4 linked regions of the Drosophila melanogaster genome follow. The protein of the gene in region 4 interacts with the protein of the main gene of each other region in a pairwise test. Each region holds a gene or a part of one and is shown on either strand. Other genes may lie near its edges. The genes, in order: ninaC, tim, per and cry.

Evidence for each region.
Region 1: the proteins of cry (region 4) and ninaC interact in a two-hybrid assay, tested with the Drosophila melanogaster proteins (one study listed by BioGRID).
Region 2: the proteins of cry (region 4) and tim interact in a two-hybrid assay, tested with the Drosophila melanogaster proteins (5 studies listed by BioGRID).
Region 3: the proteins of cry (region 4) and per interact in a two-hybrid assay, tested with the Drosophila melanogaster proteins (5 studies listed by BioGRID).

What each region holds. Positions count from the first base shown.
Region 1 is NT_033779.5:7,375,763-7,384,893, forward strand, and holds ninaC (neither inactivation nor afterpotential C), read left to right. Parts: upstream 1-1,939; 5' UTR 1,940-2,103; intron 2,104-2,622; 5' UTR 2,623-2,638; coding exon 2,639-2,926; intron 2,927-3,021; coding exon 3,022-3,885; intron 3,886-3,943; coding exon 3,944-4,881; intron 4,882-4,949; coding exon 4,950-5,242; intron 5,243-5,301; coding exon 5,302-5,573; intron 5,574-5,640; coding exon 5,641-5,927; intron 5,928-5,993; coding exon 5,994-6,143; intron 6,144-6,198; coding exon 6,199-6,296; intron 6,297-6,359; coding exon 6,360-6,413; coding exon of another isoform or gene 6,414-6,577; exon of another isoform or gene 6,578-6,995; coding exon 6,996-7,183; intron 7,184-7,248; coding exon 7,249-7,664; intron 7,665-7,716; coding exon 7,717-7,993; intron 7,994-8,044; coding exon 8,045-8,425; 3' UTR 8,426-8,582; downstream 8,583-9,131. Other genes in the region: Wnt10 (Wnt oncogene analog 10), read left to right, coding at 1-57, 1,310-1,497; CG5149 (uncharacterized protein), read right to left, coding at 9,125-9,131. UniProt on the Drosophila melanogaster protein: Required for photoreceptor cell function. The ninaC proteins combines putative serine/threonine-protein kinase and myosin activities. Essential for the expression and stability of the rtp protein in the photoreceptors.
Region 2 is NT_033779.5:3,503,292-3,509,421, reverse strand, and holds the start of tim (timeless), read left to right. Parts: upstream 1-2,203; 5' UTR 2,204-2,226; exon of another isoform or gene 2,227-2,233; intron 2,234-2,665; 5' UTR 2,666-2,864; intron 2,865-4,843; 5' UTR 4,844-4,895; coding exon 4,896-5,061; intron 5,062-5,122; coding exon 5,123-6,130. Other genes in the region: CG31954 (uncharacterized protein), read left to right, coding at 1-250. UniProt on the Drosophila melanogaster protein: Required for the production of circadian rhythms. The biological cycle depends on the rhythmic formation and nuclear localization of the TIM-PER complex. Light induces the degradation of TIM, which promotes elimination of PER.
Region 3 is NC_004354.4:2,683,328-2,692,455, forward strand, and holds the start of per (period), read left to right. Parts: upstream 1-2,252; 5' UTR 2,253-2,573; intron 2,574-4,869; 5' UTR 4,870-4,917; coding exon 4,918-5,012; intron 5,013-5,072; coding exon 5,073-6,112; intron 6,113-6,176; coding exon 6,177-6,533; intron 6,534-6,595; coding exon 6,596-8,310; intron 8,311-8,380; coding exon 8,381-8,617; intron 8,618-8,681; coding exon 8,682-8,822; intron 8,823-8,880; coding exon 8,881-8,952; 3' UTR 8,953-9,128. UniProt on the Drosophila melanogaster protein: Essential for biological clock functions. Determines the period length of circadian and ultradian rhythms; an increase in PER dosage leads to shortened circadian rhythms and a decrease leads to lengthened circadian rhythms.
Region 4 is NT_033777.3:19,209,894-19,216,495, forward strand, and holds cry (cryptochrome), read left to right. Parts: upstream 1-2,260; 5' UTR 2,261-2,447; coding exon 2,448-2,589; intron 2,590-2,665; exon of another isoform or gene 2,666-2,834; intron 2,835-3,590; coding exon 3,591-3,934; intron 3,935-4,090; coding exon 4,091-5,010; intron 5,011-5,246; coding exon 5,247-5,469; 3' UTR 5,470-5,549; downstream 5,550-6,602. UniProt on the Drosophila melanogaster protein: Blue light-dependent regulator that is the input of the circadian feedback loop. Has no photolyase activity for cyclobutane pyrimidine dimers or 6-4 photoproducts.

The sequences.
Region 1 (9,131 bases), on a different chromosome or scaffold from region 4:
TCTACTATCAGCGCTCGCCCAACTTTTGTGAGCGCGATCTGGGAGCTGATATACAGGGTGAGTTAATGTTCGTACTATAACATTTTCATTTTCCAATTATTATACTCACTCAATATTCAGCTTAAACATCTTATCAGTTTAACGTCCTACCCACATAACCATTACTTAATAAGTTAATTTACAATTTTGTCGTTAGAAAATGCGTTGCAACTAATTAAAAATGATTTACCGATACGAAGCGAGCGATAAATTTGATTTGGCTCTAATAAATAAATCTCAAATGCAAATGAACAACGCCAGCAACCGCAAATGCAGCAAAAATGTATTTTTCTTTTTTTTTTTTTTGGTTTGTGTTTTAAACGGGCTACCAAACCTGCCACATAATTTACGAAAAAAATGCGACAGCGACGCATGCGCACAGCAGCTCAGCTTAGCTTAGCTCAGTTTGGATCGGATCGGATTGGATTGGTTCGGATCAGCTCAACTCAGTTTGGATTGTATAAAGCAGTGGCGGAGACTGAAAATCTGAGGGGGGTTCTTATTTGACATTCTTAAAATAAAGGTTTTTGATATGTTATCTAAACTACAATTGGCCGAAACATACTAAAAGAAAATCGTTACTTTTTATGCTTGGAAATGAGTTTGGGTTAATTGTATCCCCTCATTTCTCCCCCCTTGCTTGTACTCTGGCTTGGGGGATCGGTCGAAACTGCGGCACGTTCACATCGAAATCGACGTCTAACTGCCACTTGCAATTTTCGTTAGCCATTTTGCTGTTGACACATTTGCAAATTATCAAGCGTCGCTGCTGCCCCGCCAACTGCCAGCAGTTTAAAAGTGTTAATTACGACGCAAATTTATAATTAATCGTCGGCTTAGCCCGGTAACTCCAGCTTCACTTCAAGCTCCAACTCAGGCTCCAACAGCAGTGAACTGGGGAGCAGCCAGCCCATCGGGCGTTTTGATTCATGTGTCCGTGTCCGGTGTCGTGTCTATTCAAATGATAGCAATTAACGCTGGCAATTATCGTCGGCCAAACAATTATGATACTTTGTTTGTGCTTTAGTTTAATAGTTTATTTATGGTCTTTTAATTGCTTGTCCGCCAGTAGGCGGGATTAACTGCCATTTGGCGATGGATTGCATTTGATGAGAACACTTAATCATTTGCTAATTACGCAAATCTTACACCACTAATTTTATTAACTTGTTATTTTTATATTTTAATAGATACCACATAATTTTCTTTTCTGATGATTATATCTTTAGAAAAACATAAACATGACTAATCTGAGCCAATTTCCGCACAGGCACCGTGGGACGCAAGTGCAATCGGAACACCACGACCAGCGACGGATGCACCTCCCTCTGCTGTGGCCGTGGCCACAGCCAGGTCATCCAGCGGAGGGCGGAGCGGTGTCACTGTAAATTCCAATGGTGCTGTAATGTGGAGTGCGAGGAGTGCCACGTAGAGGAATGGATTAGCATATGCAATTAAGGACAATGGACGCAAGACGAAGGACGATGAAGTGATGGAGCGATGGAGCCTCAGCCACATGCATAAGAAAAGACTTTTCTTCATTCTCACAGAACTTAACACACAAAGAAATCAGTATTACAGAAAAAAAAACATAAAGTACGCAATAGGGCAAACATCAATAAACAACGTGTGTGAATGCAATGCCTAGTTTAGCAATCTCCAGCCATTTGGAATACGTATAAATATATTTTGTAAATACGAACAATAAGATGCATAATTAGTCTGTCAATCAGCTGACTTTCACTCGCATTGCCAATTTCCCTTTCACCTCGGCATTTTGGCCATCTGTGTCGCCGCTTTTTTCACTTGCACGTGAATGTCGCCGCCGCTAATTGAATTAGCCAGCTAAATAGTTGTCCAAGGTGTGCACCCAGGTACTGCCCATTGAATGGCTTCCTTCCTTGCCAGTGAAAAGCCTCCGATTGCATTGGCCCATCATTTAGTTGGCTAACGGCAGCGGTACGTGCTGCATGCGTGCGGTCGGTTCGAAGTTCCACACAAGTACATCCTTGCAACCAAAAATACACAGCTGCAGGATAAGTGTGCCAATCTGCGGCAGCGAAGGTGTGTCCTGAAGGATTAAGTGTTTGAAGCCCTGTGAAGTGGATATAATACAAATAACCCCCTAGAATCCCTTTATCCAAAGTTGCTGATTCAAAATACAAACCTAGGAAGGATTAATTACCAAGGATAAATCGTACATTTAACTTTTTCGTTTTCACATGAATTATTTAAGTGTTTTATAGAAAATGGTTTTATTATAATTTTACATTTCAAAATTGCATCTTATTTGTTTAAAGGTCCTTGAAATCTTTCGTGCTTGCAAAGCAAACATTCCAAAATATCCTTACGTTAAGTAAACCAAAGTAACTTAACTTTCACCTTTAAAGAAAAAGCAAATTGTTATTAGAAGCAAAAGATTACAATGAAACCTCTAGAATGCCCATTCTTAAGTGTTTTGCAACAATGAACCCAAATATAATGCGATTTGCATGAGGGAAAATTGAAAAAGAAAACCTTTGAAGCCCATTTTATGATAGACCCAATTCCCAAGTTTAACCCACATGTTCTTCGAATATTCAGAATAAGCATCTAAGTCATGATGTATTTACCGTACGCGCAATTGCCGGATCCTACGGATAAATTCGAGATCTACGAGGAGATAGCCCAAGGCGTCAATGCCAAGGTTTTTCGGGCCAAGGAGCTCGACAATGATCGGATCGTTGCCCTGAAGATTCAGCACTACGATGAGGAGCACCAGGTTTCCATCGAGGAGGAGTATCGCACTCTGCGGGACTACTGCGACCATCCCAATCTTCCCGAGTTCTATGGCGTCTACAAGCTGTCGAAGCCAAACGGACCTGATGAGATCTGGTTTGTCATGGAGGTGAGTCAAAACATTTTGTTAATATTTTATTAAATTTTTTCCAAAAATTTAAATCCAATTTTTTGTAATTTATATAAACCATTTGAATATTTCAGTACTGCGCTGGGGGAACAGCAGTGGACATGGTTAACAAGCTTTTGAAACTGGATCGTCGAATGCGAGAGGAGCACATCGCCTACATTATCCGGGAGACTTGCCGTGCTGCCATCGAGCTGAACCGTAATCATGTCCTGCATCGGGACATTCGGGGAGATAACATATTGTTGACCAAAAATGGACGGGTCAAGCTGTGCGATTTCGGTTTATCCCGTCAGGTGGATTCCACTCTGGGCAAGAGGGGCACCTGCATTGGATCTCCCTGCTGGATGGCTCCCGAAGTGGTGTCCGCCATGGAATCCCGCGAACCGGACATCACCGTTCGTGCCGATGTCTGGGCCTTGGGAATCACTACCATTGAGTTGGCCGATGGAAAGCCACCGTTCGCTGACATGCATCCCACTAGGGCCATGTTCCAGATCATTCGCAATCCACCGCCGACCTTAATGCGACCCACTAATTGGTCGCAGCAGATCAATGATTTTATATCCGAGAGTTTGGAGAAAAATGCCGAAAATCGGCCCATGATGGTTGAGATGGTGGAGCATCCATTCCTCACGGAGCTCATCGAAAACGAGGACGAGATGCGATCGGACATCGCAGAAATGTTGGAACTCTCTAGGGATGTAAAGACTTTGTACAAGGAGCCGGAATTGTTCGTGGACCGCGGCTATGTGAAGAGGTTCGATGAGAAGCCGGAAAAGATGTATCCGGAGGACTTGGCTGCCTTGGAAAATCCCGTGGATGAAAACATAATCGAGTCACTGCGTCATCGCATTTTGATGGGGGAATCGTACAGTTTCATTGGCGATATCCTTTTATCCTTGAATTCCAATGAAATCAAGCAGGAATTTCCGCAGGAGGTAAGTTGAAAACATCTAATATGTATACTTAAATATGTTATATTTATCCTTTCTCTAGTTCCATGCCAAGTATCGCTTCAAGTCGCGTTCGGAAAACCAGCCGCATATTTTCTCGGTGGCCGATATCGCCTACCAGGATATGCTGCATCATAAGGAGCCGCAACACATCGTGCTCTCCGGAGAGAGCTACTCGGGCAAGTCCACAAATGCCCGGCTGCTAATCAAGCATCTGTGCTACTTGGGTGATGGAAATCGTGGGGCCACCGGGCGCGTGGAGAGCTCCATCAAGGCCATCCTGATGTTGGTGAATGCAGGAACTCCGGTAAACAACGACTCCACAAGATGTGTCCTACAATATTGCTTGACCTTTGGAAAAACCGGCAAAATGAGTGGGGCCGTTTTTAATATGTATATGCTGGAGAAACTACGAGTGGCCACTACGGACGGAACCCAGCACAACTTCCACATCTTCTACTACTTCTACGACTTTATTAATCAGCAAAATCAGCTTAAGGAGTACAATCTGAAGGCTGATCGCAATTATCGTTATCTGCGAGTTCCGCCAGAGGTTCCGCCATCGAAACTCAAGTATCGTCGTGATGATCCCGAGGGCAATGTGGAGAGGTACAGGGAGTTCGAGAACATCCTGCGGGACATTGATTTCAATCACAAGCAATTGGAGACCGTTCGCAAAGTTTTGGCTGCCATTTTGAACATTGGCAACATCCGTTTCCGGCAGAACGGAAAGTATGCGGAAGTGGAGAACACGGACATTGTGTCCCGGATCGCCGAGCTCCTCCGTGTGGATGAGAAAAAGTTCATGTGGTCTCTGACCAACTTCATTATGGTCAAGGGCGGGATCGCCGAGAGGCGACAGTACACCACTGAAGAAGCTAGGGATGCACGCGATGCGGTGGCCAGCACGCTCTACTCTCGATTGGTGGACTTTATCATCAACAGGATTAACATGAACATGTCCTTCCCACGGGCTGTGTTGTAAGTAATATTAAAAAAAAAGTTACAAATTCATAAGTTTAACAATGTGGCTTAAATAACTTTTTAAGCGGAGACACAAATGCCATCATTATTCACGACATGTTTGGATTTGAGTGCTTTAATCGAAATGGTCTGGAGCAACTAATGATCAATACTCTAAACGAGCAAATGCAATATCACTACAATCAACGTATTTTTATCAGCGAAATGCTGGAAATGGAAGCTGAAGACATTGACACCATCAACTTGAATTTCTATGACAACAAGACAGCTCTGGATAATCTGCTAACCAAACCGGATGGCCTGTTCTACATCATTGACGATGCCTCACGCTCCTGTCAAGATCAGGATTTGATTATGGGTATACAACCAATTCTGGCACCACTTTGGATATGTGATTTAACCACTTTCCATCTACAGATCGCGTTTCGGAGAAGCACAGCCAGTTTGTGAAGAAGCACACTGCCACTGAAATATCCGTGGCTCATTACACGGGCCGCATCATCTATGATACGCGCGCCTTCACCGACATCAACCGGGACTTTGTGCCGCCGGAAATGATCGAGACCTTCCGCTCCTCGCTGGATGAGAGCATCATGCTCATGTTCACCAATCAACTGACCAAGGCTGGCAATCTCACCATGCCATTCGAGGCAGTGCAGCATAAGGATGAATCTGAACGGAAGTCATATGTAAGTCTGTCACAGTTTTTATTAGCTAACCTAAATTTGGTATATTTTTGTAAACTATGCATTTCAGGCCTTGAATACCCTAAGTGCCGGATGCATCTCCCAAGTGAACAATCTACGTACCCTGGCGGCCAACTTCCGCTTCACCTGCCTGACCCTGCTCAAAATGCTAAGCCAGAATGCAAATCTCGGCGTGCACTTCGTTCGCTGCATTCGCGCTGATCTGGAGTACAAGCCCAGATCCTTCCACTCGGATGTCGTCCAGCAACAGATGAAGGCCTTGGGAGTTCTGGACACTGTTATTGCTCGCCAGAAGGGATTCAGCTCGCGTCTGCCATTCGACGAGTTCCTAAGGCGGTGGGTAATCGATTCCATTCCAGTTTCCATTTAAAGATTTCTAAATATTTAAAATATTCGTATTAGATACCAATTCCTTGCCTTTGACTTTGATGAGCCCGTGGAAATGACCAAGGATAACTGTCGTCTATTATTCTTGCGCCTCAAGATGGAAGGCTGGGCCTTGGGCAAGACCAAGGTGTTTTTGCGCTACTATAACGATGAGTTCTTAGCCAGGTGAGCTATCAATTCATACGCATTGAGAAAAGCAAGTACTATCAATTGCTTTCAGATTGTATGAGCTGCAGGTGAAGAAGGTCATCAAAGTGCAGTCCATGATGCGAGCTTTGCTAGCACGGAAACGAGTTAAGGGCGGCAAAGTTTTCAAATGTAAGATATAAATAATACTTATACAGTATATGGTATGAAATCTAATTTTAAATTCCCTATTAGTGGGCAAAAAGGGACCGGAGCATCATGATGTGGCCGCGTCCAAAATACAAAAAGGTAAAAAAACGCAGGTGGATAGGCTAAGAGAGTACGACGAGGAGCACATCGACATAAGCGAGACGCCCTCGGAGGCGGAGGAGATGTTCCTCGAGGCCAGAATGGATGAGGCTCTGGCAGCGGTGCGAATAGCCAAAATCGAGCAGGCCTCCGCCGAGGAATAGGCCCCTACTATATACCATTTATACACACTATATCACTATATCGATCGATACTAATCGTAATACGACTACCAATAAAATGTAGAAAACGCAAACAACCAGCTATCATCTAGTCTAGGGCCTCGGCAAACCACTTAAGCCGCTTAGTGGTGTCCAATGTGGATACCATCCCACCCCATCCCGCTGGGCGGTTGTGTTCTCCATCTGATGCAACCAATCGGCTTATAGCTGTCTGAGACATAACACTTAACATCGACGGCCCCTGCGAAAAGAGATGAATTATAAGTGCTGCGTAGAAAAGAAATGAAAATTTAATTAAATTAAGGTGACTTCCCTCTCATTCACCACCACCGTCCACCGCCGCGACCGCTTTTCAAATGGGTTACTCTAACGGCCTTCCTCCGTTTCCATTTTCCCACAGCCTTCAGGGGATTCCGCGACCGCGTCCGCCTCCCTCCGCTGGTCAACGAGAAGTCCGGCCAACTAAACGAGAACACCGCCGACTTTATCCGTCCGTTTGCCAAGAAATGGCGCGAGAAGTCTATCTTCCAGGTCCTCCTGCACTACCGCGCGGCTCGCTTCCAGGACTTTGTCAATCTCTCACAGCAGGTGAGTTCAAATCTCTTATCTTCAAATCCAATATATATATATATATATATTATATTATGTACCAGGTCCACATCTACAACCAACGAATGGTGGCTGGCTTGAATAAATGTACTCGGGCTGTGCCCTTCGAGAGGATCAATATGCGCGAAGTGAACTCCTCGCAGCTAGGACCACTGCCAGTGCCCATAAAAAAGATGCCATTCCGCCTGGATCAGATACCCTTCTATGACACCCAGTATATGGTGGACCCGGCCAATTCCATTTCCCGCCAAGCCTTCCCCAATCAGCTACTAACGCAGCACATGGAGGACGATGAGCCTTGGGACAGCCCTCTGCAACGCAATCCTTCGATGACTTCTTGTGCCCTGACCTACAATGCCTATAAGAAGGAGCAGGCTTGCCAGACCAACTGGGATCGCATGGGCGAGAGCGACAATATCTACAATCAGGGCTACTTCCGAGATCCCCAACAGCTGAGGAGGTTAGCAAAGATACTCAAAGGTTGAACTTAAGTTTCTAACACTTTTTTTCAGAAATCAAATGCAGATGAACATGAATGCCTATAACAATGCCTACAACAGCTATAACAGCAACTATAACAACCAGAACTGGGGCGTACATCGATCCGGATCCAGGCGCAACTCCTTGAAGGGCTATGCGGCGCCTCCACCTCCTCCTCCACCAATGCCCTCATCCAACTATTATCGCAATAATCCGAACCAGCAGCAACGCAACTATCAGCAAAGATCCTCGTATCCTCCGTCGGATCCAGTTAGAGAACTTCAGAACATGGCTCGCAACGAGGGTGATGTAAGTGTATGTCAATTTCCTAAGGAAATTCTTCAGATATTTTCTTTCCAGAACTCTGAGGATCCACCATTCAACTTCAAGGCTATGCTGCGCAAGACTAACTATCCGAGGGGATCCGAGACCAACACCTATGACTTTAACAATCGCCGCGGATCGGACAGTGGTGACCAACACACGTTCCAGCCGCCCAAGCTACGCTCGACAGGTCGCCGGTACCAAGACGATGAGGGCTATAATTCATCATCGGGAAACTATGGTGTGTCTAGGAAGTTTGGCCAGCAGCAGAGGGCTCCGACCTTGAGACAATCTCCAGCCAGCGTGGGTCGCAGCTTCGAAGATAGCAATGCTAGATCCTTCGAGGAGGCAGGATCCTATGTAGAAGAGGAGATTGCACCTGGAATCACTCTTTCAGGCTATGCCGTCGATATCTAAAACTAGTGATTAAGAGTAAAAATATTAAAATTAATTGTTATGCAAACCATAAGACAATTTAGCTAAAACCCACCTAAAATTCCAAAATAATGATTGAAGTTTTCTTCATCACTTTCTCAAAAACGTTTCACACAATGGAATAAATAAAATGTCTTGGGATAAATCGTTATTTAAATTTTCACTTTTTTCTTACCGCATTTCATTTTTCTATCTCTATAAACCACTTAATTATTTAGGTTATTTGTAGGTAAATGCTACCTTGGCATACTCAAACATTTAACTTTAAAGACATTGATATAAATTCAGCAATTAATTTGCATTTTATTGACGTAGGATAAAAATGGGAAAAATTCGACGAATTAACATTGCTTATTATGCTTGCTTCTTTGTTACATCATTTAAATGATTTACTTTTCTCACTTTAAGATCTAAAACGCAACAACAATACTCTCAGTATTTCATAAACTATATCCATTATACATTGTATATATAAACATTAATACCTAAACAAAAACGTTTATAGGAATGGATTGAACAAATACTCTTTTGTTCGCAGGACTTTTTTTGTGTGTTCGATAGGGATTGCAAAAAAGCTAAGGAAACTGAATTGAATCATTAACTGCACACCCATATCGGGCATGGTCTCACAAATTCTCGATGATAAAACAAAACTTTTTCCTTAAATAGTTTCACATAATATCAATCA
Region 2 (6,130 bases), on a different chromosome or scaffold from region 4:
CAATCAGGAGCTTTGCAGCGAGAAGTACAAACAGTACGGCGGCGTCACCGAGCGAATGATCTGTGCTGGATTTCTGGAAGGCGGAAAGGATGCGTGCCAAGGCGATTCCGGCGGTCCGATGGTCAGTGAATCGGGCGAGCTGGTGGGCGTGGTTAGCTGGGGCTACGGTTGCGCTAAGCCCGACTATCCGGGTGTCTACTCAAGAGTAAGTTTCGCACGGGATTGGATCAAGGAGCACAGTGGTGTCTAGATTCGTATATCCTGCACAGTTAACATAGTTTGAAATCAATTTCTTCCTATGCGATTGCTTTGACTAGATGTATTTCAAATACCCGCAATAAAAAATTATCAAACGATGCCAACCAATCCGATGGAACCATTTCATAATGCGCCGCTTCAATAGAAGGATTCGCACACGTTGCCAGCACGCAGCCAGCATTTCAAACACGCGACCCTCCAGGATATCGCACACTTCGCCGGCGCATGTCGCGTTGTTGGAAATGAGTCTACTTGGCCACGTTAAGAGGATGTGTCGGGCTGCACGAGTCCTTGGCCGTTTGTGAGGGATGGAGTGGGCATCGCATCTAATTGTTTTGCTTTTGATTGGGAGGCTTATCAGCCAACTTTCATCGTGACTGTCCACCGTTCATGTGTTACATGCGGCGTATACGCAATTACTTGCATTACGTATACGTAGGGACAAGTTTTTGTGCATTGGCGTGGCTTACTTTGCCGCTGAACGGACTCCGCCATTGTTGTGTTTGCTTAGTGATAAATTAGCTTACAGAAATTAACATCAGGCGTTGCATAATTCAGATGTATGTACTTGCATAGCCTTGGCATTGGCGAAGTGATCGCACAACTTACGTTGAGTGGAAACTTTGGGCGGATCGGCTGAAGTGGTCTAATCAATGCTATGTTCTTACATTGGCACTTTCGTTTTTCTCCATTCACTTTGCAGCAATGGATATATAACTTAAATATTATTTGCAAAAAATAAAAAAATTAATTCATAGTTGAAATGTATTCAATCAAAATCTGCTCCTTTATATTAAAAATATAGTTAGATTGTCACCTTTTACAAAAGTCTAACCATCTAATTAACAGCATTATTAATTTGTTTCTTTTTTTTGTGACAACTAATCTTCTTATTGAAATAATAGAATTTGATAGTCTGGGTTGAATAACATTTTGACGTCAAATCGCCTATTGTGAGTGAGTGACTTCGTAAAATGAGAGTGTCAGTTATTTATTTCTATCGCCCCAGTCCGAGCAAAAGTATTTTCCTAAACCTCCGTTTCCAGTCGATTTACCACCGCGATTCGGTGCCGACGTGCTGCAGCTCGCGCCACCGTGGAAACACTCAAAGTAAATATATACGCTCCCCACAGTATACGCATTCAATGAGCCCGGTGCGTATACGCCGCGTGTGCCCGCGCCTGCAACCAACTGTTGATTCCGTTCCCAAAAGGATTATTCAACGGATCATCTGAGGCACTCAGAGCCGAACAATGTCACCCTGACGAAGCCTACGGCAGAGTCGTTCGAAGGCGGCGTCAAAAACGTTTAACTTTACACTGAAAAAAATATTGGTTTTAATGTGAAACGTCTGTGAGGAATACAGTACAGCAGCAGACAAAATAATATAATATTTATGTATGTAACAAAATATGTCATTGAATATATTATATACATATAAACGTGAGTGTTGTATAATCAAAAAAAAACGTAGTTTTGAAATCATTTATATTAATTATTTTGCACACTAAATATATACATTTATTAAATAAAGTAAAGTAAAGTATTAAAGTAAAGTGAAGTCTCGTTATTGAAGATACCATTTGGTAAAGTGACACACTTTTTTTTTTTGAGTGCACAGAAACGTTCTGACTATTGCTGTTGTTCCCAGACTGTTCTCCGTATTTTCCGGCGCTGGTTATTCATGTTATCGAACATCGTAGTGGCGGTTGGCAAATAAACGTGCGGCACGTTGTGATTACACGTGAGCCGATTTCCCCGGCCGTCCGGCATTGAGTGCGAGCGGGACGGAGCAGCGCGGCGAGAGCTTTCGGCTAGCGTCTTTCGTTCGCACAAACGCCGGCAGCGGCACGTTGGCCCTGTGTGAGTGGGTGTTTCGGTCAGTGTGTGTATCTGTGAGATGCATTTTGTATCTGACTTCGGTGAGCTAGCCGTAACTCAGATCGCATTCAGCATTGTGCGTTCCAAGTAAGCGGTTCGTTGAGCGGTTCGAAGTTTATCAACAAAATAGAAGTTTCGAAAATAAATATCTCTTAAATAAAGAAAATTTAATAAAGATATTTTGCTAAAATAATCTTGAATACTTTTGTGAATTCATGCAATAATATTTATTAATTCACATATCAATAATCTTAAAGAGAGTGCTTACATGACTCACTGGTCTTTCTCTCAGTGTTTAGCCTAGATTGCAATCGAAAAAAGTGCAAATTAATTGCTATTGAAGTTGCATTTTACATAAGCCAACAACGAGTATAAAGAATTTTTTGTGCAGTGTTAACAAAGCAAAGTTCACAAAGTGTTAAATAAAATTGCAAATCCTTAACAAATTTTTCATGAGTGGTTAAAATCTTAATATTACCAAAAAAACTGAATTTACCCTAACAAATATTCTTAAAACTACTTTCAGATATAAAACAAAAATAATTTCATCAGTGTATATAACAGCACTGAAACTATAACACGATCTATTCTGCAAAGAAACCCAAAAAGTGCTCAGAAAAGCTCAATTGCTTAGAAACATAAACAATCAGCTTTAATTGTTGATTGCAATTCGGCTAAAACTAAAACAGTAAAATTGTCTGCGATAGAAAAAATTTAAATAATTGGTAAGAAATATAAACCACTAGTATATTTAACATTACATAGCTTAGACCTGACCTAACACAGTTCGTTATCAGTTGACCCCTGACAAAATTACACTTTAACAAAGCTTTCTAAAAAGTAGCTTTAAGCGGCGACATATTCAAGCAATTAAAGCTTGCACAGAAAGAAAACCCATTTCCACATGAAAACGAAATCACATAATACTGGGAAAATGAAAACAAGTTAAAGGGGCAATTTACGAAGCACAACAATTCTCCGTTACAATTCTTATGTAAAAAGCACGCAGTGAACTGTCAAAAAAGGAGGCTTGGCCTTCCACGGAATTCCTGTCAGAAACAGGATAGCGAAATAAGTACGGGAATCGTCCTGAAACTGACAGATTTCATCCTGGCACACAGATGTTCAGTGGTTTCTGCTCGTTTAGCTAGGATTTTAACGACCCTCAGATGTATTTGCATTGCAAATTCAAATCTTAAATATTTATTCGTGATCTATCTTTGCTTTCCGTTTCAAATGCAAATTCAACCTCGCTTCAATGAATTTCCCCTTTGCGAAAGAATGAAAATTGTTTTCACTCTCCAAGAAAAGTAGATACTCAGCTCGAAATTTCAATGCGCATATCATTTTGTAGTTCTCGCCTTGCGTTTTATGTAAGTTGGGTCTTTGATTTCATAACCAGTCAGCGGAAATGGTATTGGGGTTGCTAGAAACGTTTCACAGATACAAAGATGCTCAGATGATCTATGATTTCGGATGGTGCAAAAATTATGCTCGACCAACAAAATTCGATATTAGTTTCAGTAGAAATATCTAAGTAAAATTTAAAAGAAAAGTATTTTTATTTTTTTTCTCTTAGATATCACTGTTTTCTTATTAATTATATTTTTTAATATTTTCTATAAAATGTCCATAATTTATTGTCCCTCAATTTACACACAATTAAATCTCCCTTCTTAGATATAATTTCCTATTGAGCATTATTACATTTTAAAACAATTTTATAGTAAATCAGCTAGGCCATAAATGGCTTTGTAATTTTAAAATTTTCTCAACTGTTTGCGCTGTTTATTTTCCGCTCTTGGCCATTTAGCGTGCCATTTAACGTGTTCGCCCAAAAGAGGGCAACGAAAACCAATGCAACTAAACTGCATTCGCTTTAATGGCCAAATATAGCACGAAACATTCAAAGTCAGCAGGCTGGAAGCCGCACAAATGCCAAATCCTGCATCCCGATTCATGTCCTATAAATATCGCTACGGGTGGTCGGCTTTTCCGACTGCAGGCTTTGTTCCTCCGGAGTCCCGTAGTCCGTAGTCCGTTTGCGAACCCAGTGGCTTTGTCCTCCAACTGTGTTGTTTACACAATCAGCCCGGATGTCTGCAAGTGAGTCACATGCGGCCACCGGGTGCCGCAGTCGCCTGTTGAGGATTTGCCTCGTTACGTGATGGCTGAAGGTTGGGCTCCCCCCTGTGTGGGGGGGGGGGGTGGTGGTGTTTGCCAATCCAGCCCACTTTTTCACTTTCCGGACTGGCAAGTGTGGCTTCTGGGAACTTTCGGGGCTCGTCTGGTAGGCAGTTTCCTTGATTCGACTCGCAACGGGTGGTAAATGGGAGACGTGCTGTGCGGACACGTGTGTGAGGTGATGTGGAATGGGAGTTGATTCGGGTTTCATCCCCGAGCGGCTGCAATTGCAGCACATTGCATGGACTGCGCCCTTGATGGTCACATGGGTGGCGATTTTGTTTGCGAGTGCAAATATTTATGGGAATCATTTGTGGTTGCGTAATGCCCTGGAAGACGATGGGTTAGTGACCTTAACATATTTTAAGGTGACTGTTACAGCTTACAAAAATGCCATAAATTTTTCACCATTTCACATCTCAGTTTAAATGTGTAATATTATTTAAATTCACCTCTGGTACCACGTTAAGAATATTTAAGTTTTAATAACAATTAAATATACATTTTTGTTTACTTATAGTTACAGATACCGCGCAAATGGCTAAGAAGTACCTCAATGTTCGCAGTCGACAATGAGCAGAGTTAGGCAGCTCCACAATCACATCTGGAATAATCAGAACTTTGATAAAGTGAAATCGGTTATGGACTGGTTACTAGCAACTCCGCAGTTGTACAGCGCGTTCTCCTCCTTGGGTTGCTTGGAGGGCGATACCTATGTGGTCAACCCGAATGCATTGGGTGAGTAATCAATATAGGACTACTACATTAATTAGGTATTTAACTTATTTTCAATCCCCAGCCATTCTGGAGGAGATCAACTACAAGCTCACCTATGAGGACCAAACACTGCGCACCTTTCGACGGGCCATTGGATTTGGCCAGAATGTGAGGTCAGACCTGATACCGCTGCTGGAGAATGCCAAGGATGATGCGGTCCTGGAGTCGGTCATCCGGATACTCGTCAATCTGACGGTGCCGGTGGAGTGCCTCTTCTCCGTGGACGTGATGTACCGCACGGATGTGGGTCGCCACACCATCTTCGAGCTGAACAAGCTGCTGTACACCAGCAAGGAAGCATTTACCGAGGCCAGGAGCACCAAGAGCGTGGTGGAGTACATGAAACACATACTGGAGTCGGACCCTAAGCTGTCGCCGCACAAATGCGATCAAATCAACAACTGTCTGCTGCTGCTGAGAAATATCCTGCACATTCCAGAGACGCATGCCCATTGCGTGATGCCCATGATGCAGTCGATGCCGCATGGCATCTCCATGCAGAACACGATCTTGTGGAATCTCTTCATCCAGAGCATCGACAAGTTACTCCTGTATCTGATGACCTGTCCGCAGAGAGCCTTCTGGGGAGTGACCATGGTGCAACTGATTGCTTTGATCTACAAGGATCAGCATGTGAGCACTCTGCAAAAACTACTTAGCCTCTGGTTCGAAGCCTCTCTGTCGGAGAGCTCTGAGGATAATGAGAGTAATACCTCGCCCCCCAAACAGGGCAGTGGCGATTCCAGCCCCATGCTGACCTCTGATCCTACCTCTGATTCCTCGGACAATGGCAGCAATGGCCGTGGCATGGGCGGTGGCATGCGGGAAGGAACAGCGGCCACTTTGCAGGAGGTGAGCCGCAAGGGTCAGGAGTATCAGAACGCCATGGCCAGAGTGCCAGCGGATAAGCCCGATGGCTCCGAAGAGGCCAGCGATATGACGGGGAACGACAGCGAGCAGCCTGGATCGCCGGAGCAATCGCAGCCCGCCGGCGAGTCCATGGACGATGGAGATTACGAGGACCAGAGAC
Region 3 (9,128 bases), on a different chromosome or scaffold from region 4:
GTTGGTGCGGCCCGGGCATTTACTTGGCCGGGAATATTCCGGGCACAGCGACGTTACTTCAGTTCAGCGGGGCAGCTGAATTCTAATGTGGACATTTTGAGGATAGCGAGACCATTCAGTGCAATCTGTAGGTGCTCCAAGGCCAAGGACTTCGTTTAAAGGTCTGCTTCAAGTCCACCTGATCTGAGCCCCGTATCTGTTATATTCCTTCATAAGTTGCCAACCGAGCAGCTCTAAACGAGACTTCCCAAGGAAACCTAGTTTGGAGAATATGACACTATATTTCTGATATTAATTTAAACTGTTCATTACATTGATATAATTTTTTTACAGACATCTATCTCATCAGAAAGTAGTCAAGTGCTGAAGTAATTTCACTTGAGCTTGTATCTCCGTTTGTGCTTACAGTTCAACGCTGGGACGGAATTGTGGTGCCAGTAATGCCACCTGATGTGCTACGTCCATCCTCTAATCGCAATCCATATTCATGGGTCCACAGGTCCTCGGACCTACGCCACTTGGACGTTGAAAGGGTGGGCCTTGGGAACTCGGCTCTAATCCCGCTCACAGTCCGACCGACACTCACCCGAAATCACCACCCGGAATCCGATTAGCGGCAATCAAATGAAATCACAGCACATCAAAACGCGACGGGGAGTGGCGAAGTGCGGCAAGTCAACAGTCGCAGCATCAAAATCAAATTAGCAGCAGTTTGGTGGCTAATTCGAACGCACTTTATCATTTTCGGGCAGGCGTCTGTGACTTTGTGGCACGTGTGTGGCCGCGATAGATAAGAGCGAGCCCCAGCAAATGCCAGCAAACTCCGGCTAGCTTGGGCAAACACCACACACGTGGCCACAAAGGAGCTGCGTGTGGAGTGGGTGCCGGGTCAAATGGATTTTCACACCCACTCGACGTCGGCAAAGCCGCCAATTAATAGAATTCAATTATTCAAAGCCACCGCAGGCCGATGGGACGGCTGATAAGGCATAAAGACATCCTTGGGCACTTCGATCGGATTAGGATAATAAAAAATGCTCCGAAAAAAAAAGAAGTTGTGGGGTCCATAAAAATATGCTTTTATGAGGGGGTAGCTAAAATCATTTCCTATTTATCAGATGCCTCAACTTTTAACCCTTCAATTGCGAAGACTAAAAGCCAAATTCAATGCACAGAAATTGCAAGTAATAATCATTTGTAACTGCATAGCAGTAGTATCAGCATCGAACCGAACCACTCGACCGCTCGGAGTTCATCAACCCCTCGTGGAAAGACGGGGAATCCCCTGCTGGCAGGTATGTGTAACGCCACCTGTGGGCCACAGCGCGCAACAGCCAGCTGGGCGGAGGCGGAAAAGCCAGGGAAAATCAGCTGTCGCTATCATCCCACTCCGTACGTGTTTCAGCGCACGCCGCGCACACCTGCCCAGGTAGAGCTTCCACGGGACAAACGGGAAACAGAAGCCCCCAAAAGCTTGGCGCCACTTTCAACTTTTCATCCGTGCTAGAGAGCCGAGCTGCTAGACCGATGCACTGCGTTGACTGCGGACTGGCGCTCTGGTGCACTGCTGGCCGCACTTGGACGATGACCAGGTGGGTGGGTGAGTAATGCCGTTGCGAAATGCCAGTGCCAGTGCGAGTTCGCACAATTCATGGTGGGGCAGGGACGGGTCCGAGTGCAAAAAGCGTCCGAGAAAGCCGTAGGCAGTGAAAAGCCGCCGCTCACGTGGCGAACTGCGTGACTTGGCCAGCAAATCCGCCGCCCAGCCGGCTCCCCGGAAAACACCCCTCGGAAAACGTGCTGCCAGCCGCCCACCAGGCAGCCCCAAAAAGGCAGGGGATTCCATAGCTTTCCTTAACCTGCAGTTGGTGCGTGGGGCTTGGATTGACACTTGGCATCGGCAGTGCCATGTAACGTATCCCACAGCATAGATAAAAACCAAAAGAAACTAGTATTCAATAGAAGCTATGAAAAAGAAAGATATCCAACATTATAGCAATCTATAAATGGGGTTTCTTGCTATGGAAAAGGGAGTCTTTGGCATTCCAATTACTTGCTTTTGTTGTTCGCGCAAAAGCTTCGCCCAAGGGTTAATGTTTGGGTCCGAGTATCTCAGCCGACCAGCGATTTCCCGAGCGACTGCGATTCCCAGCGATTCTCAGCGACGGCGGAGAGCAGCGAGTGAGTGTGAGAAAATTCTGGGAATGCGAGTGCACGGGGGCTTATACACCGGAGCTTGCGATGCGAGCACTAGTGTTCGTGCGAATTTAGAGCCAGAAGGTCGACAACGCGTTCGTCGCACAGTAGAAAGTATTGCCATATACCAAATAAATCGCAACAACGACCTGTCGAATCACGCAAACAAACAGCTTCGTTTTTTTTTTTTTAATTTCGACCAGAAACAAACCGTTATTCTTTGGTGCCAGTGTTAGTGTCAAGTGTATCGAGCTGAGTGACATATAGCCACAGCCAAAAAGTGAGACCATAAGTGAGATTCCAAACAGAAGGCAGCAGCAGCCTAATCGCAGCCTAATCGCAAAAAAGTGCAGCTGGGTGAGAGCGAGAGCGAGTGTGTAAGTGCAATTGTCACGTTGTTGCAATAAAGCTGCAAAGAAAAATCTCAGCAAGAGGCGCTAGATAGACCATTATCATATTGCCAATACAAAACAACGCATTGGGCAGGCAGCTTACATAAATAACTCGGTTCATAACGTCCAATGGCGCACTTACACATATGTACATATAGTGTTTATTAATAAGTGCACGTTGCACACCGAGCAAAGCGTAAACAAAAGCCCACATCAAAATACCTGACCCTACCGAACAATGCTCCGGGAATGCCCCACCACTTCCTTCCTTGCAGTGCCAAACAAACATACTCTGGCCGCAGAATACGCATACGCAACGTGGTGCACCACTGCAGCCGCTTGCCTTCCGGTCACCTGGAGTGCAGTACTGCAGCACACTGCGCCTACGTGAAGTGAACTCATTCATATATGTAGCTACATAGCTCTAATCGATGCCCGGCATCCAATCTGGGTCAGAGCATATTGCGCATACGCAGCGTGTTCCCTTTTGGGCATTGCACCTTGGTATTTTCAGCTTATTTGCTGCACACACGCCACGTGGGCGCAGTAATTTCTGGCAAATTTGGAATGTCTATTAAAACCCCTACGATTTGGATAGCCGCAGTCGCAGTCGCGTTACACAAGCTAAACAGAGTACCACCATTAATAGCTCAACGTTCCCATTCGTGCCCCGAATTTTCCCACAGTCTTTCCCAGTATGTCTTGCCCCCGGGTTATGCGACTGTTATCCATGTCTGTCGCGCTTCCTGTGCTGCATTATCTAACATCCTCGGAATGACGCACGACCAATGTAATCCAGCAATCCAGAGGCATCGCGGCGGATTCGATTCGACCAGTTGGCCTTCTTGCTTTGCTGCGTCAAAGTTCACCCACATATGGGATGCGAACTGGGTTAACCAGCGAGTTACACAATCCTTGGTGGGTATAAACTGAAGGATTTGGGCAGATTGAGCAGTCGGTTGGAAGCCAGTTTGTTGGGCAAAAAAATGGTATTATCCAATGGAATTTTTCACCTTCTTTGGAATTCTTTCTTCTTGAATTCTGGGCCGTCGAAACAACTATCAGCTTGTTTACTTGGCCCATTTGGTTATCTTTGCTTTTAATGGAAACTCTGAAGAGCCTGGAATGGGGTCCACCCTAATGCCTGTGTGTCTGTGTAGTATTTTTGGGTTTAGTTGATTCAGCCAAATCGGAGAGAATGAACCTGGGTCTTATGCAATCGCTGAAACCGAACTCCTTGCCGAATTGAATGCTTGCTATATGCACCGATTACGACATAGTGGTGCATTGTGAGAAATATGAGTTCTTCGCTGCGTTCTTTTTTTGTAATTGCAAAATTGCTGAAAAGAATGTGTCTTCTACTGAGGTACAGGGTACATGGTTCTGAACTACACACTACACGTATCTAAGTATCTAAGTACGTATCTGCGAATCTGGAGCCGGGATGCATTGCGACTGCATAACGACATCCGTTGGCGGAGCGGCAGAGGCAACGCGAGAGCAAAAGCACATCGCACTGCACGTGAATGCAGCGTCGCGCCGTCTCGCTCTCGCTCCCGCTGCGCTGTTAATTAGCACAGTGAAGCCTCGTTGCAGGCAACCACCGTGTGGGCGACATTGTTCTCTATCTATCGTTCTGAGTCTGGGCCGGGCAGAGAGTATACGATTCAATCAATGGCCACCATGCAGGTGCAAGTCAAGGTGACAATTTCACAACAATGCTCCAGCCAATTAGGACTAGAAGTTATCCAAGCCATGATTCATGAACATGAATGGCAGGCAGTCGGAACACGTGCAACGCCTGGTTTCCCCCCCATCATCCATTCGCTTGGCCTAGAAGATCCTAGAAAGCGTTGGTGGTTAGCTGGGCGGCACAATACTATTGGCGAGCAACGTGAAGACGGTAACGAAGCAACATTCGGAATTTGAATTGGATTCTAGAGAATCGGGGGGGTTTGCGCGTCGCAGCCCGGTGCCGCAACAGATTTCGTGATTCATTTCATCACCCGGCCGAAGTGAAACTACTCACAACGCAATCGACTCACGTTGATGCAACAGCGCTGCTCTGAATGAATCCGGTGCAAATAGAATCCGCATTGTAGTGGTTGGTCATTCATTCAACGGATACTCAGTAGTCACGGAATCTCCTCGAAGGAAGGACAAACATAGATACATAGGTTCATCATAGAAGTGAAATCAGTTAGTTAGTTATTTAGTTACCCCCATTCAAGGTCCTATCAAGGATAACTGAAGTGCTAATGGTCATCATACGATTTTCCAGAATCTCGCACTAGTCAACCAACTGGGCAAGCTGGAGAACCTAAGCACCATGGAGGGCGGCGAGTCCACGGAGTCCACACACAACACCAAGGTGTCCGACTCGGCCTACTCGAACAGCTGCAGCAACAGCCAGTCGCAGCGCAGGTGAGTCCATTTGATGTGCTCAATCATGCGAGTAGTCTAAACGATCCATCCCCTTTCCAGTGGCAGCTCCAAATCCCGCCTGAGCGGCAGCCACTCCTCCGGCAGCAGTGGCTATGGGGGCAAGCCCTCGACGCAGGCCAGCAGCAGCGACATGATCATCAAGCGCAACAAGGATAAGTCGCGCAAGAAGAAGAAGAACAAGGGCGCCGGCCAGGGGGCGGGGCAGGCGCAGACCCTGATCTCGGCGTCGACGAGCCTAGAGGGCAGGGACGAGGAGAAGCCGCGGCCCAGCGGCACTGGGTGCGTAGAACAGCAGATCTGCCGAGAGCTGCAGGATCAACAGCACGGCGAGGATCACAGCGAGCCGCAGGCCATAGAGCAGCTGCAGCAGGAGGAGGAGGAGGATCAGTCCGGCTCCGAGTCGGAGGCGGACCGAGTCGAGGGCGTGGCCAAGTCGGAGGCGGCACAGAGCTTTCCGATTCCCTCGCCGCTATCCGTCACCATTGTCCCGCCCTCGATGGGCGGCTGCGGCGGAGTGGGCCACGCAGCCGGTCTGGACAGCGGGCTGGCCAAGTTCGACAAGACCTGGGAGGCAGGTCCGGGCAAGCTGGAGTCCATGACCGGGGTGGGCGCAGCGGCGGCGGGCACAGGGCAGCGCGGGGAGCGGGTGAAGGAGGACAGCTTCTGCTGCGTCATCTCCATGCACGACGGCATCGTCCTGTACACGACGCCCAGCATCACCGATGTCCTGGGCTACCCGCGCGACATGTGGCTGGGCAGGTCCTTCATCGATTTTGTGCACCTTAAGGACCGCGCCACCTTCGCCAGTCAGATCACCACGGGCATACCCATTGCGGAATCCAGGGGCAGCGTGCCCAAGGACGCCAAGAGCACCTTCTGCGTGATGCTGCGTCGCTACCGGGGACTCAAGTCCGGCGGATTCGGCGTCATCGGCAGGCCCGTCAGCTACGAACCCTTCCGCCTGGGGCTCACCTTCAGGGAGGCTCCGGAGGAGGCGCGACCGGACAACTACATGGTCTCCAATGGCACCAACATGCTGCTCGTCATCTGCGCCACTCCGATCAAGAGCAGCTACAAGGGTGAGTATCTGTGCCCGTTTTGGTTTCATCCAGCCATCTAACCATCGATCTCTGCCCCCCCCAGTTCCCGACGAGATTCTCTCACAGAAGAGCCCCAAGTTCGCCATACGCCACACGGCCACCGGGATCATATCGCACGTGGACAGCGCGGCGGTCAGTGCACTGGGCTATCTGCCGCAGGACCTGATTGGCCGCAGCATCATGGACTTCTACCACCACGAGGACCTCTCAGTCATGAAGGAGACCTACGAGACGGTAATGAAGAAGGGTCAGACGGCGGGCGCCTCCTTCTGCAGCAAGCCATACCGCTTCCTCATCCAGAACGGTTGCTACGTCCTTCTGGAGACCGAATGGACCAGCTTCGTCAATCCATGGTCCCGCAAGCTGGAATTTGTCGTCGGACACCATCGCGTCTTTCAGGGTGAGTTCGCGTGCCGACCCAGTGATCCAATGATCCTCTAAACAGGTCATTTCACCTTCCAGGACCCAAGCAGTGCAACGTCTTCGAGGCGGCGCCCACATGTAAGCTGAAGATATCGGAGGAGGCACAGAGCCGGAACACGCGAATCAAGGAGGATATCGTGAAGCGCCTGGCGGAGACGGTGTCCCGTCCGTCGGACACGGTCAAGCAGGAGGTTTCCCGCCGCTGCCAGGCGCTGGCCAGCTTCATGGAAACGCTCATGGACGAGGTGTCCCGGGCGGATCTCAAGCTGGAGCTGCCGCACGAGAACGAGTTGACCGTCTCGGAGCGGGACAGCGTGATGCTCGGCGAGATTTCGCCGCACCACGACTACTATGACAGTAAGAGTTCCACCGAGACGCCGCCCAGCTACAACCAGCTAAACTATAACGAGAACCTGCTGCGTTTTTTCAACAGCAAGCCGGTCACGGCGCCGGCGGAGCTCGATCCGCCCAAAACGGAGCCGCCGGAGCCGCGCGGCACGTGTGTCAGTGGCGCCAGTGGTCCGATGAGTCCCGTCCACGAGGGCAGCGGGGGCAGTGGCTCCTCGGGCAACTTCACCACCGCCAGTAACATACACATGAGCAGTGTGACAAATACGAGCATTGCCGGCACTGGTGGCACGGGCACTGGTACAGGTACAGGTACTGGAACTGGAACTGGAACCGGGACAGGAACTGGAACCGGGACAGGAACTGGAACGGGAACAGGTACAGGCACAGGCACAGGCACTGGAACAGGCAATGGAACAAATTCCGGCACCGGAACCGGCACCGCCAGCTCATCCAAAGGCGGAAGCGCCGCCATACCGCCAGTCACGCTGACCGAATCCCTGCTCAATAAGCACAACGACGAGATGGAGAAGTTCATGCTGAAGAAGCACCGCGAGTCGCGCGGACGGACGGGTGAGAAGAGCAAGAAGTCCGCCAATGACACCCTTAAGATGCTGGAGTACAGCGGTCCAGGCCACGGGATAAAAAGAGGAGGCTCCCATTCCTGGGAGGGAGAGGCCAACAAGCCCAAGCAGCAGCTAACCCTGGGAACAGATGCGATCAAGGGAGCGGCAGGAAGTGCGGGCGGAGCAGTCGGCACTGGCGGTGTGGGATCAGGAGGAGCCGGTGTGGCGGGCGGAGGAGGATCCGGAACAGGCGTAGCAGGCACACCAGAAGGCAGAGCCACAACGACCTCGGGAACGGGGACACCAGGTGGAGCCGGAGGCGGAGGCGGAGCAGGAGCGGCAGCAGCGGCTGGAGCGTCCTCCTCCGTGGGCAGTTCCACGCCAGGACCCTCGTCCTATCCCACCTGCACGCAAAACATAAACCTCTGGCCACCGTTCTCGGTGGGCATCACACCGCCCGTTCACTCCACGCACACGGCCATGGCCCAGAGCAGCTTCTCCTCCGCCGGCCTCTTCCCGACCTTCTACTACATCCCCGCCTCCTTGACGCCCACCAGTCCCACGCGCTCTCCCCGGATGCACAAGCATCCGCACAAGGGTGGCACGGACATGCCCACCACCTCGCAGCAGGCGGCTGCCGCGGCCGCCCAGGCCATGCCGCTGCAGTACATGGCCGGCGTGATGTACCCGCATCCTTCGCTTTTCTACACACACCCGGCGGCGGCCGCGGCCACGGCCATGATGTACCAGCCGATGCCCTTTCCGGGAATGGCCAACGCTCTCCAGATTCCCGAACGTCCGTTGGGCTCCCAATCCGCGTACAACAAGTCGGTGTACACGGTAAGTCAGTGGCCGGTGGTGCCTCACCGAACTGTCTTAACTCCAACTCCAACTCCATACTCGTCCATAGACCACGCCGGCGTCCATGACGAAGAAGGTGCCGGGTGCATTCCACTCGGTCACCACTCCTGCCCAGGTGCAGCGTCCCTCCTCGCAGAGCGCATCCGTCAAGACGGAGCCGGGCTCCAGTGCAGCGGTATCCGATCCCTGCAAGAAGGAGGTGCCGGACTCCTCGCCCATTCCCTCCGTGATGGGCGACTACAACTCCGACCCGCCCTGCAGCAGCAGCAATCCCGCCAACAACAAGGTATGCTATACGAATGAGGTCCATTGGTGATTGGTCATTATGAAGAACATGGTCTCATCCACAGAAATACACGGACAGCAATGGGAATAGCGACGACATGGATGGCTCCAGCTTCTCCTCCTTCTACTCGTCCTTCATCAAGACCACGGACGGATCGGAGAGTCCGCCGGACACCGAAAAGGACCCCAAGCACCGAAAGCTGAAGGTACGTACAGTTCAGTCCACGATGCGATTCAATGTAATCCATTTCCGTTCTTTTGCAGAGCATGAGCACATCTGAGAGCAAGATCATGGAGCACCCGGAGGAGGACCAGACACAGCACGGGGATGGGTAGTAGCCACACCCGCAGTTGCTGCTGACCGACGTACACAACCGAGTGCACAATGTCGATCCCTGGGATGATCCGAGCAGCAGACACCGAGGAGCAGCAGGGTCCTGGAAACGAGTGAGCAATTGCCTCCGGTCTGGGCACCGAGTACCAGCCAGTCCCACCAGTTCCTATTCCTAACT
Region 4 (6,602 bases):
TTTTGCTTTCCGAGAAGGAAACCTTGGGAAAGCAGCTGCACTAAATAAAGGAAATCCCTTTGAGGGCATGGTCCCACCAGACACAGGAGTATTAGGGAGTTTTCCATCACAATTTACAAATGCAATTCGCAGGATACAGGATCTTTTCCAAGCACAATGGAAACTATGGTAAAGCAGCGGCGATTGAAAAAGTAAAAGCCCTTTCAACGAGTGGTCCCATCTGGTTTATGAGAAATCATATTTAATTTTCTACATGACATTTTATCAGCCAATGTTCAGTAATTTTTCACAGAACAAACTATGAAAGGCTGTCCGTAATCATAAAAAATTCAATTTCGAGGAAATGGTGAGAACTTTGTAAAAATTGGTACCACCTGGCGTATGGGTAAGTGGGTATTCCTTTGCAAGGGACAAGTTCTATTGGAAAAGTTCGACCTGAACGTAAATTAAATGCCAACTATACGAAAATGTCCATGTCAATGAAGTGAAAATTGTGAATAGAAACCCACCTGGCGTATGAGCAATATGAGTTCTTTGAGTATAAGTAATTGTATTTGCTATTCTCAATCTTTAAATTTCCGAAATTTCAATCCCAACCGAGGAACGTAAATTAGTTTCATAAAAGCTAACAAGGCAAGAAAAATTCTTTTGTCCAAAACCTTTCGACTTCACTTCATTGTTCATTTGACCCTGTTTCACTCTGCCTCTGCCACTGTTCCTTTCCCCCGCCCCCTTATAATCCTGGTTTTGGCCATAGTCCAGCCACAGAAGGCTCATCATCGTCGTCGTCATCATTTGAATTCCTCGCCCGATTGTTGCAAGCAGCGCCTGTCGTTGTTGTTGTTGCCAGGACACGTGCATCGGCGAGCTTTGCAGTTGACATTCCGTTACGCACGTTGCCTCCATTTGGTCCTTGTTCTTGTTTTTACTGCTGCTGCTGCTGCTGCTGCTGCTGTCGGTGTCGTTGTCGTTGTCTAGGCAACATGCAATGTGCAATGCTAAAGTTTTTGTGATGCAAGTGCGTAGTTTACTCACAATAAGGCTCGTTGGGACTGTCCAGCGATGTTGGGTATTCGACGTGCGGGGATTTTTTTTTATGGGGGAAAAGCTCACTCAAAGTTGGCAAAGGAGCTGTGGCCCATGCTCGGGTTAACTAACTATGCCAATGCAGGACCATAACCAAAAAGTGCGTCACTACCGAATATTAGCTACTCTATTATATGTTCAAGTGTATTTGGTTTTTCGAAATATTGATAGGAGAATACTGGTATCTAGAATTGCTCATCTTCCATCTTCATCTTTTTCTTACCAAAATAGCTATTTCCAGTATAATTTGTAGAAGAACTAACCAGGAATGGGCTAACCTACTTTTGTAGTTAGGGCGATACTTACTTGCTTTACAAATGAATGTCTGCACAGCACAAATCAAATAATCAATAAATCTTATAACTATTTAAACTTAAATGTATTTACTCATAATAAACAACCAAGTAAATATACCCAAATAGGTAATTATTACTTCAAAGTGATAAGTATAAGCATGCAAACAGCCCATCTCGATCCCACTGCAGAGTTGAGTGCTTGCAAAAGCTCGTCACGTCATAAGCGGCAACAGTTGGGTTCAGTTTCTGGTTCTGTGTGCTCAGAACGCAGTGCCCCACTGTGAGAGCGAAGGGAAGAAGGGGTGGGACAGTCAGCTGGGGGTCGATTCGGGGTGGGGGCTCGGCTCGTTCTCGGCGCAGAGCTAGAAGTGCAGGCAACCGTGGGCAGAGTGCCACACTTATGCTCACACAAGCACCCAAGCACACAGTCGCCCCTTCGCACACACACACACACACACATACAGATCGACAGCTTTGTATTGACGCACTTGAACGGGCTGTTTCTAGTTACCGATTCACAGTACACGCTTCTACACTGGGAGAAAATATGCATGTCCGCAAAATCCTTATCAACTCTCGAATCTTTTCTCGCAGCCATTATAACGAGTTTTAATACTAAATATGCATAGAAATTCAAAATATAAACAATAACAAAAACAAAAACGATATTTGGATGTTATAGAACACTCTTAGTTTTAGCCTGCGTTTGGTTTTGCCCAACTTAAACTTTGGTTATAATATATATAATATATGGAAGTAAGTACTTTTTTTCAGTGTGCGGTTCCCACAGGTCTCTTTCTCGCCATCTCTGTTGCACTCACCGTACTTATGCGATTCATTTTAGCTTATAACGCCGAACACGGGGAACGTTGAGCTGCAGTTGTAGAAACGTTCTCAGCACTCAAATTTCGCATTCACATTCTCATTCGTCAATTAGTTGCCGGCGCGAGCGAATCGTGAGTGCGGAAAAAAGAAAATCTTTTCATCAGCTGGAAAACTGTTCTTCCCGATCAAAACTGGGATTCGGGAGATTTTTGAAGCCCAAAAGCAGGGAACTCCTCACTGATGGCCACGCGAGGGGCGAATGTGATTTGGTTTCGCCATGGATTGCGCCTCCATGATAATCCCGCTCTATTGGCCGCCCTCGCCGATAAGGATCAGGGTATAGCCCTAATTCCCGTTTTCATATTCGATGGAGAGAGTGCAGGTAAGAACTGAGTTTTCGAAAATTTTATTTCGTTGCGCACACATACATGTAGGTATCCAAATTAAATTGATTACAGGTAACCTTGAACTTACCTTGCACTTTCCTAAGTTATTACTTCAAAACTTTTATATGAGATATGGATATCTCATGGAGATATATTTAAAATATTAAGATAATCTTAAAATAATTAATAGATAGCAAAACATCAAAGATAAAATATTATATCTATATATATTTGCTCATACAAAATCATCAGAAGTTTGTGTAAAAATAGATTTTTGGAAAGAGTTTGAAAATTCAACAAAATTAAAATAAAAAACCGTTGGCAACAGAGGGTTAAAATAAATACTTTTAGTTTGATTGCTATTACACGCTCATTCTCCGTATGAGCTAATATCATTTTTTGCGACTTGCATCGGTTATCACATACCACCTCTTTCCGCGACCGCTGCGAATTCAGCGTTTTCGCTGCTTGTGAAAATGGAAAGAGGGCGAGAGCTGCAGGGGCGGAAAATGGAGGGAAAACCTAATGCACTTTTGCATGGTAGAGCAAAACAAACGATGCGCCCTAATGCCATTTGTGGCTGGCGGTTTTGAGAATTTTCCGTCGAATCGCTGGGAGAGAGATATAGAAAGACAATGCAAAATGGGTAGAGACATTGAGTGCAAACCAGAATAGCAGTATAATGCTTGTGTTTAAACAGCTCGCTCACGGAAAAAGTCGGCGAGAAACGGGGATACCTATAGAACCCATCACTTGACCGATAAGCGTCGTTTTGTGGGTAAAAGCGTGAAAACAAATATTACAATGGAAAATGGGCTAAACTGAACCATTTGTTTGCACAAAAGCTGAAAATTTATCTAAAAGGTGGCACTTAAACACACAAACTTGTTTTGAATTCCTAGTTTTGCGAAAATTGTGCACGAAAAAACTTTGAAAATGCATAATTTTTTTTAAATTTATAAATCTTATAAAACCGTTAAATGCTCTTCCTTAACAGGTACCAAGAATGTGGGTTACAATCGGATGCGTTTCCTCCTGGACTCGTTGCAGGACATCGATGATCAGCTACAGGCGGCAACTGATGGACGTGGACGCCTCCTGGTCTTCGAGGGCGAACCGGCTTATATCTTCCGCCGGCTACATGAGCAAGTGCGTCTGCACAGGATTTGCATAGAGCAGGACTGCGAGCCAATTTGGAATGAGCGCGATGAAAGCATCCGTTCTCTATGTCGGGAGCTGAATATCGACTTTGTCGAGAAGGTATCACACACGCTTTGGGATCCGCAATTGGTGATTGAGACCAATGGTGGCATTCCACCGCTGACCTACCAAATGTTCCTGGTGAGTTTAAAGCTCAGTTCTCTAGTTATAATATTCTTTTGAGAATATATCTTTAAAATAAATGTAAAAATATAACTATCTGAAAATTATATAGTCACTGAAAGATACTAATTATTTACATCAAATTATATTTTCGTTTATTTTATTATGTTTTAGCACACGGTGCAAATTATTGGGCTTCCACCGCGTCCCACCGCCGATGCTCGACTAGAAGACGCCACCTTTGTCGAGCTGGACCCCGAGTTCTGCCGAAGTCTTAAGTTGTTCGAGCAGCTGCCCACGCCGGAGCACTTCAATGTGTATGGAGACAACATGGGCTTCCTGGCCAAGATTAACTGGCGCGGCGGAGAAACACAGGCCTTACTTCTGTTGGATGAGCGTCTTAAAGTGGAGCAGCATGCGTTTGAGCGTGGATTTTATCTGCCCAACCAGGCACTGCCCAATATCCACGACTCGCCAAAATCGATGAGCGCCCATCTGCGCTTTGGTTGCCTTTCGGTACGTCGCTTCTACTGGAGCGTCCACGATCTCTTCAAGAATGTCCAGTTGCGCGCCTGTGTGCGGGGCGTTCAGATGACTGGCGGCGCGCACATCACGGGACAGTTGATCTGGCGAGAGTACTTCTACACCATGTCGGTGAACAATCCAAACTACGATCGCATGGAGGGCAATGACATCTGCCTGAGCATCCCGTGGGCTAAGCCGAACGAAAATCTCCTGCAGAGCTGGCGTTTAGGCCAAACGGGATTCCCGCTCATCGACGGCGCCATGCGACAACTCCTGGCCGAGGGATGGCTCCACCATACGCTGCGCAACACCGTGGCCACCTTTCTCACGCGCGGCGGTTTGTGGCAGAGCTGGGAGCATGGACTGCAGCACTTTCTGAAGTATCTGCTGGATGCGGATTGGTCGGTCTGCGCTGGCAACTGGATGTGGGTATCCAGCTCGGCGTTTGAAAGGCTGCTGGACTCCTCCCTGGTCACCTGCCCGGTGGCATTGGCCAAGCGACTTGATCCGGATGGCACCTACATCAAGCAGTACGTCCCGGAGTTGATGAATGTGCCCAAGGAATTTGTGTAAGTTTATATAATGAAAATTCCATATAACAATTTAAGTACTTAGATATAATAAAAATACTGATGGTATACTTGTCGTATACGCAATATATGATGACTCCTTTGTCGTCTTTACTTATGATTCGTTAAAGTGTTCAACAATCTCAAGCAACCATTTGAACTATATATATTTTTAATTCGTTTATTCGTGCTTTTGTTATATTTTTTAAATTATAAATCCCATTTTATATTTTCAGTCACGAGCCCTGGCGAATGTCTGCCGAGCAGCAGGAGCAGTACGAGTGCCTGATCGGAGTCCATTATCCGGAGCGGATCATTGATTTGTCCATGGCCGTAAAGCGAAACATGCTGGCCATGAAGTCTCTCCGAAATTCGCTGATCACCCCGCCGCCGCATTGCCGACCATCCAACGAGGAGGAAGTGCGTCAGTTCTTCTGGCTGGCCGACGTGGTGGTTTGAAGGAGTACAAGTGGGATGACCAATCCAATTTTAATTCGATTTCACAATAAAGAAACTATTACCAGTGAAATATTATATATAATTAATAATGCTTTATTTTCTTCAATTAAAATAAGTACTACAATACAATTTGTATCCGTTTTATTTGGTTTCGTTTTACTTTTAACAGCTTATAACGTGTTACTCATATATCAATTTTATTCAGCTTATTTTAAAAATCGTTTATGGTGTATATATATATAATTATTATTATCATCTGTATTACGTTGTCAAATTATACGTTAATTAACAGCATTAATTAAATAGTTTTTGCTTTTAATTGGGTCTTTCATACGAGAAAAATTGAACGCGAAGTATTTCAAATATTGAAATTTATTTTATGTCGATCTATTGATCCTGGCTTCGTTTGCCTTTCGTTTAATGAGAGATTCTATCTTTATAATTTGTCTAAATTGTTGTGTATATTTTATTTTAATGCCTAAATTTTGGTGTTCCTTCTAGATGTGTGCCTTTCGAATGAGATATTGGTAGGGGTTGATGGGACCTAAAAGGAGTTATTGTTGAAGTTTGAGTCCCTCGACAGTTTGCTACAAATAAAGTTTGAGAAAATCTAAACTCGACCACGCCGAGCTTTTCGCTCATTCCCCTACCAGCGACTTAATCGCAATAGTCCTTTGTAGGAAGTAAGCATTCGTTTTAGACATTCGACATCCTGCGAATTAGTTGAAGTAAATTCGAGTAAACATTTAGAGCGTTGCTTGGCAAAAAGTTATTTTTCTGGTAAATGTAAATTTCACACACACACACATTGCGTAATATACGATAGCTGAATAAATAATGGAACCAACCAATTCAATCAACAAACGAACAAGGAAGGAACGAGAACTCACAGAAAATAACAATTTGATGCAATTTATACTTTATGGAATATCTCGTAACGCATTATACTTTTATCAATATTATATTTTTTAAGTACTCTCCCCAGCTTCAAGTGTCCTCTCTGTATGTATGTACAAATGTATAGTATTGTGCTGATGCAGATGCATTCGGTGTGCTAAGTGGATGTCTGTGTGTTCGAACCGATTGGCTATAAAAATAAAATGCTGCTTGTCCCCATTTCGTATGCAATACTT